2 linked regions of the Oryzias latipes genome follow. The protein of the gene in region 2 interacts with the protein of the main gene of each other region in a pairwise test. Links are inferred from orthologs where the notes say so. Each region holds a gene or a part of one and is shown on either strand. Other genes may lie near its edges.

Region 1 (3,753 bases), on a different chromosome or scaffold from region 2:
CTGTGTTATGTTTAGCCAAGTTTTTTATACACAAAAATAGGTTACAGAAATGTCACCCCAGCTTTAACTTCTTTAACAATGAGATCAATTTATACTTAAAATCTATAAAGTTAATCGACTCACCTAAAGCCATAACAATTTATGACACCCTGAGTGATATTCCAAGTATCTGAGACAATTTATTTTTCTGTTGTATCCCCCTGCATTTTGTAACACTATCCAACTCGCGCACGCACATCCTACGCATCTTTCCCTTAATAAATCACAACCGATTCTAAATGCAGCGCAGCTTTTGCGGCTTCATGACAAGCCTATAGTTGCCCATAAATAGTCCGTGAAACGCCCACAAATGAATATTCATTGATTGCGAAACCATGGCAAACACAGAAAGGAAAGGAAAAAAACGTATGTACTTTTTTTTTTGGGTGGCCCTAAAACTCCGTCATACGAAGGTCTTATTTTTTTATATTTATTTTAATAATTAATGTATTAATTCTTCAGGTGAAATACTACATACATGAATGTTAATGTAATAAGAAAACACCATACTTCCCCCAATTCATCAAAGATTTTTATATAAAATCAGTGTCATACTCCACCAGCAGAAAGGCCCTCAAAACTAGTGAAATCTGTCAATCTTTGCAGATATTTATGTAATCACCCCTATTGTTATTTAATATAGTCTATAGTATATGCTGTGTACATTCCTTGTACATTGTACATTGAATGGTTCTTTCTCGTGTTGTGTACTTGTATTTTGTTCAAAAGAGTTTTATTTAAAAACCAAATTATGCAGCTTTCTGGAACAGGGCCCGGGTGGTGGCGGTAATGCGTCCATAAAACTACACAAGAAAAAGGAGAATGACGTCATTTCCGAGGCCTTTTTTTCCTCTTCCGTTACAGTGTGTGCAGCTCGTGTGAGCGGCTGAAATGTAAATAAACTCCACGTCGGATGTTTTTTATATTATTTTTTTAATTTAGAACTTCTTCGACTTCGCAAAGATGTTTTCCTCTGTGGGGTCCTTTATTAAACGCCACAAAAGGAAGTTTCTTTTCACGGGAGCTGTGGTTGCAGGTACATTATTCTGTTAGCCTGTTTGCTAACAGCAGCATTTTGTAGTCTTATTACGTTAAACCGATACATTCATATTTAAAATACGTAGAACTGGGGAGGTCCGTCTGCAGTAAATAACCTCTTACGTCTCCGATGCAAAAAACTCGTTTTCTTGAAGTTACTTTCCAACTAATATTAATAACGTTCACGGCGACTGTTGAATTGCCAAGTAGTATAGTGAGGTTAGCTTATCTGCATCTTAGTGTCTGTTTTTGTAATGTGATATTATGGGAATGCTGGCTGCAGATCTGAAGGAACAGACTTTGTGGTTTCAGCTTGTTTGCTGCTTGATCTGTGGGGGTTTCTGTGTTAGTAATTCAAAAGAACAGTTTGCTCAGACAGACCACTCCCCATTCCTTTAAGGAGTTTACCTGCTGGGAAAATATGCCCAGAAGAAGTTGAAGGAGGTCCAGGAGAAGGAGGCTGCAGAGTACATCGCTCAGGCCAGGAGGCAGTTCCACTTTGAGAGCAACCAGAGGACCTGCAACATGACGGGTAAAGGCCCGTACACACCGGGACGAATATTCGCCAGGCGTTATTCGCCAGCGTTTTTCGCCACGTTTTTTGTGTTCACACCCAGGCGATTTTCGCTGACGATGAGTGGAGTGAACATGCAATTTCATTCCCTGACATTAGATGGCGCTTAATGTAAAACAGAAATACTCCTGTACACAAGGTGGCGCTGCGCAACTTTACGCTTCTTAAAGTCGCTTTTCACTCAGAAGAAGAGAGCAAGTATTTACACGCTTGTCAGAATCAAACAAAGAAAACATGAATATTTCAAGCACCAGTAGCTCCAACTGGTGCTTGGTTCGGGGATGTTTTAGAATGTCCGTCATTATTGCTTCGCGGCTGTGTAGACGCTACTTGGGGTCTATCTTCTTCGCTGGTATGTGTGCTCAGCAAGGCAGTTTTGTGTTTGAGCGCCCCCAAGTTGTGTTTTACTGTAACTTCAGAAGCTCCAGACACGTGAGCAAAAGCGCCATTCTCATTGGTCGAGTAGATTTCGACGCGACGCGTCGAAAAAAAAAAAACGAACCCGAGGCGTTTTTTTTTTCTGACGCTTTGTCGCGTGGCGTTTTTTCGCGTCGGTGTGCACACTCTCATTGGGGCCCTTTGTTTAGTCACGAGGCGTTAAACGTCGGCGAAAATCGCCGACGAAATTCGTCCCGGTGTGAACGGGCCTTAAGGCAGCTGTCCCTCACTGATGTGGGACGGGGACAGTGCTTCATGGCTCTCACACAGGTTTTTGTGTTGCAGTGCTGTCCATGCTCCCCCCACTCAGAGAAGCCATTATGACCCATCTGGACTCAGAGAGTCTGACCACACTGCTGAAAACCAAGTGAGCAGAAGCTTGAATGAAGGCTGGAGATGAGTGAAGTGTGGAGGTTCACCCTCTGTGTTTGTCTCACAGACCAGCCAACAAGTTGGAGATCTGGGAGGATCTGAAGATCATTAGTGAGTGTTTGAAGGTTCCAGAGGGTTAACCAGTTTCACGTTTGTCCAAGTTCATCTGTCTCGTTTCTAATCTCCTTATTGCTTATTAAAAGTAAAAAAAGTTCTGAATCTTTCAGATGTAGGTGGTAAAAGCATTTCTTCAGTCTCAAATGTCACTGGTTTGGTTAAAGAGGAAGCTGTTTTTGTTAATGCTGCTGCCCTTCTCTCTCACAAACTGCTTCATTCAGGTTTTACACGGACCATAGTGGCTGTGTACAGCTCCTGCATGCTGGTGGTTCTGCTCAGAGTCCAGCTCAACATCATTGGGGGGTACCTGTACCTGGATAACTCTGCAGGGAGGAGCCCAACGGTAAGGAGTGCACATAACTGATATGACTTTAGCCCTTCAGGCTATTTGCACATACACACACATTGTGACACACTGAACCCTAATTCAAGGGTGTCCAATTCAGCCTCGGGGGCCAGTGTCTGACATGTTTTCGAGCCAGCCTGCTAAGTGAAGCAACTTATTGGCTAAACAGACCTCATCTAGGTAATCGACAGCAGATCCTCTGGGTTTCTGGAAAACCATCGGGAGGCCGGCCCTAAAGGCCTGGGTATAGACCCCCCCCCCCCCCCCCCCCCTGACTGCAGGCTCCTTGAGCAGAGGTTGCTGAGTCCCTTCTACTCTTTCAGGACTCTGACGTCAGAAAAAAATGTATTTTAGTCAGAATTAACTTTTGCATTTACACTATACAATGCTGAAACTATCAAACATAGACGTTCTGAGGACTACGTAGCAGCATTTCCACCTTCCGCGGATCTGAGCACGGATTAAAAAAAATATGAGCGAGCAGGCCCTTAATAATAATCATAACAGTAATAAAAACACATTTGGTCCAAACGGCAAACGTTTAGCCTGGCAACCCCCCCCCCCCCCCCCCCCCCTTTTGTTGTGTTTTTTGTGTGACTGCGGTTGTCATGGAGGCAACGCAGTGACAAAGGAGGCGTTGCCTTGGGCGCTCCTGGATGAGGCTGGACGGGGATGCGCAGGAGAGGAAAAAGGGGGGCTGCTCGGCCATATGTGCTCTTTCTGAGTTTTGAACGAGGAAGTGTTTGCAGACGTTGTTCTGCACTAACAGTTTGCTCCAAGCAAAGAAATAAACGGCTTCTAGCGTGTTCCAGAGCAACAGTGTCCCGCC
Region 2 (3,753 bases):
CCTTCACCCATCCAACCTCCAACCTTCACCCTTCATCCATCCACGATCCATTTATCATCCATCCATCTATCATCCATCCATTCATCAATCCATCCATCCATCCATGCATCCATCCATCTTCCATCCATCCATCCATCCATGCATCCATCCATCTTCCATCCATCCATCAATCCATCTATCATCCATCCATCCTTCACCCATCCATCATCCAACCTTCATCCTTCATCCATCCACCATCCATCTATCATCCATCCATCCATCCATCCACCATCTATCCATCATCCATCCCTCCATCATCCATCTGTCATCCATCGATCATCATCCATCCATCATCCATCCCTCCATCATCCATCATCGATCCCTCCATCATCCATCTATCATCCATCCATCCATCATCCATCCATCCACCTTCATCCATCCATCCATCATCCATCAATCATCCATCCATCATCCTTCATCCATCCCTCCATCATCCAACTTACATCCTTCACCCATCCATCCATCATCCAACTTTCATCCTTCATCCATCCATCCATGCATCCATCCATCCTCCATCATCCATCCATCCACCATCCATCTATCATCCATCCATCTATCATCCATCCATCTAACCATCATCCATATATCATCCATCCATCCATCCATCCATCATCCATCCATCCTTCTCCCATCCAACCTCCAACCTTCATCCTTCATCCATCCATGATCCATCTATCATCCATCCATCCATCAATCCATCCATCATCCATCCATCCATCCATGCATCCATCCATCCATCCTCCATCCATCCATCCATCCATCATCCATCCATCCTTCACCCATCCATCATCCAACCTTCATCCTTCATCCATCCACCATCCATCTATCATCCATCCATCTATCATCCATCCATCCATCCATCATCCATCCATCCATCCATCCATGCATCCATCCATCATCCATCCATCCATCCTCCATCCATCCATCCATCCATCCATGATCCATCCATCCTTCACCCATCCATCATCCAACCTTCTTCCTTCATCCATCCACCATCCATCTATCATCCATCCATCTATCATCCATCCATCCATCCATCATCCATCCATCCATGCATCCATCCATCATCCATCCATCCATCCATCATCCATCCATCCATCCATCATCCATCCATCCATGCATCCATCCATCATCATCCATCCATGCATCCATCCATCATCCATCCATCCATCATCCATCCATGCATCCATCCATCATCCATCCATCCCTGCTGGTGTCATAAAGCTAACATGTTCTGTTCTTTGTGGGATTTTTATTTCAGATCTTCTTCTGTGTTTCTGAACAGAAACATAAACGTTTTCCAGAAGCAGCTTTCAGCTCTGGTTCCCAAACATTCAGGAGGTTCTTTTATCGTACTTTTACTTTTGCCGTTTTTGGAGATTTTATTTATACAACTGAATGTAGTGTACAAACTTAAATAGAATGTATTCTTTACAAACTCTTTCCTAGTGAAGAATAAACGTTCAGCTAAAGCATTTTTCAGAGCTTTGATATTTGTGACACTTTTTCAGCCCTGTAGACACTTCCAGCTGTGTCTGTCATTGTTCTTCCTTCTATTTGGACACTAAAAAATACTGCAGTTTTATCAGTAAATGCTCGTTTATTCAACTTTGTTTCAGATTACAGTTTTAGTTAATTAGCTAAGACATTAGATTAAACTAAATCAAAACAAAAAATAACTACAAGCTATAGTACAATATCAGCTGTTTCACACATTTAAATAATGTATTACAATGACTGTGATCTAATTATAAATAAATAATGCGATTATTTTGCAAATATACTCGCTATTTTTGAATTGCAGCTTTTCTGCAGGGAGACTTTTTCTTTTCTCTGAAACATTTCCTGAATCCACATACAGTTTTTTTTCCTGAGCTTTTAAATGTGAGCAGTTTTCTTCAGACCTTCATCATTGTAATAAAACAGAATTCACTCAAATCCTCAAAATAAAAAAACATTCAACGCGCATGCGCACACGTGCAGACTTTTTTGCACTAAGCAACTCACCTAATTCCGATATTTCATGACAATCAGCAAATCGACCTGCGGATTCGGAATAAAAGTGTCCTTTAGAAGCAGCTCGGTCATTGAAGGGTACCGCGGAAGCTGCTGCTGAGCCGCGGCTCACCTGCGATCAGGTAGGACAGAGTCCGGACGGTGTTCTCCAGCTGCGCCGTGGCCGCGGGGTTCCTCCTCACGTACTCCGTGTAGCGCTCATAAACGCGGCTCACTCTGTCCACGTAGTCCTTCATGCAAGACATTCTCCTGACCGGGCGATCGGAGCAGAGAGGAGCCGCTTCTGTGGCCTCGAGCCCACTTTTTCTCATGTAAACAAACTTCCGCTTGTTGTGGGCCGTCAGTCTTTAGCGTCCCCCTCGCTAACAGGTCCGCTTGCATTAGTTCCGGTTCCGTCTGCTTCCGGGCACGTTCTTGTTGCATCAGCATCTGCCGGTTAGCTCTGTGTTCATCATGTCGAGCTCAGGAGACTCAGGTAGGCGGTTTAGATCCTCTGACTGTCGGTTGGACATGAATTTATTACCAAATGTGTCCTAAAGATGCGATCATAAAGCGACCATGAAACCCGCGCGAGGGGTTAAGGAGCCGCGCTAGCTCAACCAACGACAACATGATGATCGAGCGGAATCAATGACAGCCGCACCGGGTCAAACCTGCTGATTTACCCGGGCTACACCTGCTGACTTACCCGGGCTACATCTGATGATTTGCCCGGGTTACACCTGATGGTTTACTCGGGTTACTTACACCTGCTAATTTACCCGGGTTAACCTGCTAATTTACTCGGATACACCTTTACCCGGGTTACAGTTACACCTGCTGATTTTTTCGGGTTGCACCTGATGGTTTACCCAAGTTAGACTTGCTGGTTTACTGTGTGTGTGTGTATGGGTGTGGGTGGGTGGGTGTGTGCGTGCGTGCGTGCGTGTGTGTACTCCCTTTTATATTTAGATGTTTTAATCAGATTTCTTGATGTAACTAACTGCGTTTATTTGCTTTTGCTTCTGCTTTTTAATATTAAAACAATAATTTATATCTAACAATGTTTATTAAATAATTGTATCCATTGAAGCAAAAGTTCTTTCAAACTGTTCAAACCATTATTGTGTTCAGGAACGTTCTCTCAGAGTTTCGGTGTTTGTCTTGGACCTCTAGAACCGACCCAGCTCTGGTTCTTCTGGTTCTGAGGTTGTAGCTTCCTGCGTTCCTCTCATGAGTTTCCTGTCAGACGGAGTCTTCTGGGAACAGGGTTCCCTCCAACTAGAGGCCGTCTCTATCGATTCATTCAGCAGTCGATTGGTCAACAATGATTGTTTTGTTTTTGACTCGAGGTGATAGTGCCGCTATCAGTCCTCTGAGGTTGGCGTCATGTATGGTACTGCTAAGGCTCGGCTTATGTCTACCTCAGGTACAGGTACCTTTACCTGTGCCTTACCTGTCCTTAGTAAGCCTGTACAGGTAAGCTCTATTCGAGCACAAAAAGCCAGAATTGGCTGTTCCTGATTCCTGCTCTGAATCCGTGTCTGAAGGTCCCATAGAAAAAATGTTTTTATGAACATGGGTTTAACTATTGCAGCTGGTGAACCCAGTGATCATTTCCCCTCCATCAGATTGCTGAACTGACTCGGGTTGTCGCGCCCCGATCCTGTCTTTAAATTCTTCAGGTCTCATTCCTTCTGGATCCCGTTAACTGTAAGT

Evidence for each region. The genes of interacting proteins can lie anywhere in the genome.
Region 1: the proteins of pex16 (region 2) and pex3 interact in binary tests that used the Homo sapiens proteins (3 or more experiments, as listed by UniProt). The link is inferred for Oryzias latipes from reciprocal best matches to the Homo sapiens genes PEX16 and PEX3.

Annotation. Positions count from the first base shown.
Region 1 is NC_019882.2:23,442,206-23,445,958, reverse strand, and holds the start of pex3 (peroxisomal biogenesis factor 3), read left to right. Parts: upstream 1-866; 5' UTR 867-1,002; coding exon 1,003-1,075; intron 1,076-1,477; coding exon 1,478-1,609; intron 1,610-2,374; coding exon 2,375-2,456; intron 2,457-2,528; coding exon 2,529-2,572; intron 2,573-2,799; coding exon 2,800-2,921; intron 2,922-3,753. UniProt on the Homo sapiens protein: Involved in peroxisome biosynthesis and integrity. Assembles membrane vesicles before the matrix proteins are translocated. As a docking factor for PEX19, is necessary for the import of peroxisomal membrane proteins in the peroxisomes.
Region 2 is NC_019861.2:661,663-665,415, reverse strand, and holds the start of pex16 (peroxisomal biogenesis factor 16), read right to left. Parts: upstream 2,394-3,753; 5' UTR 2,367-2,393; coding exon 2,168-2,366; intron 2,083-2,167; coding exon 2,047-2,082; intron 1-2,046. Other genes in the region: cars (cysteine--tRNA ligase, cytoplasmic), read left to right, coding at 2,509-2,530. UniProt on the Homo sapiens protein: Required for peroxisome membrane biogenesis. May play a role in early stages of peroxisome assembly. Can recruit other peroxisomal proteins, such as PEX3 and PMP34, to de novo peroxisomes derived from the endoplasmic reticulum (ER).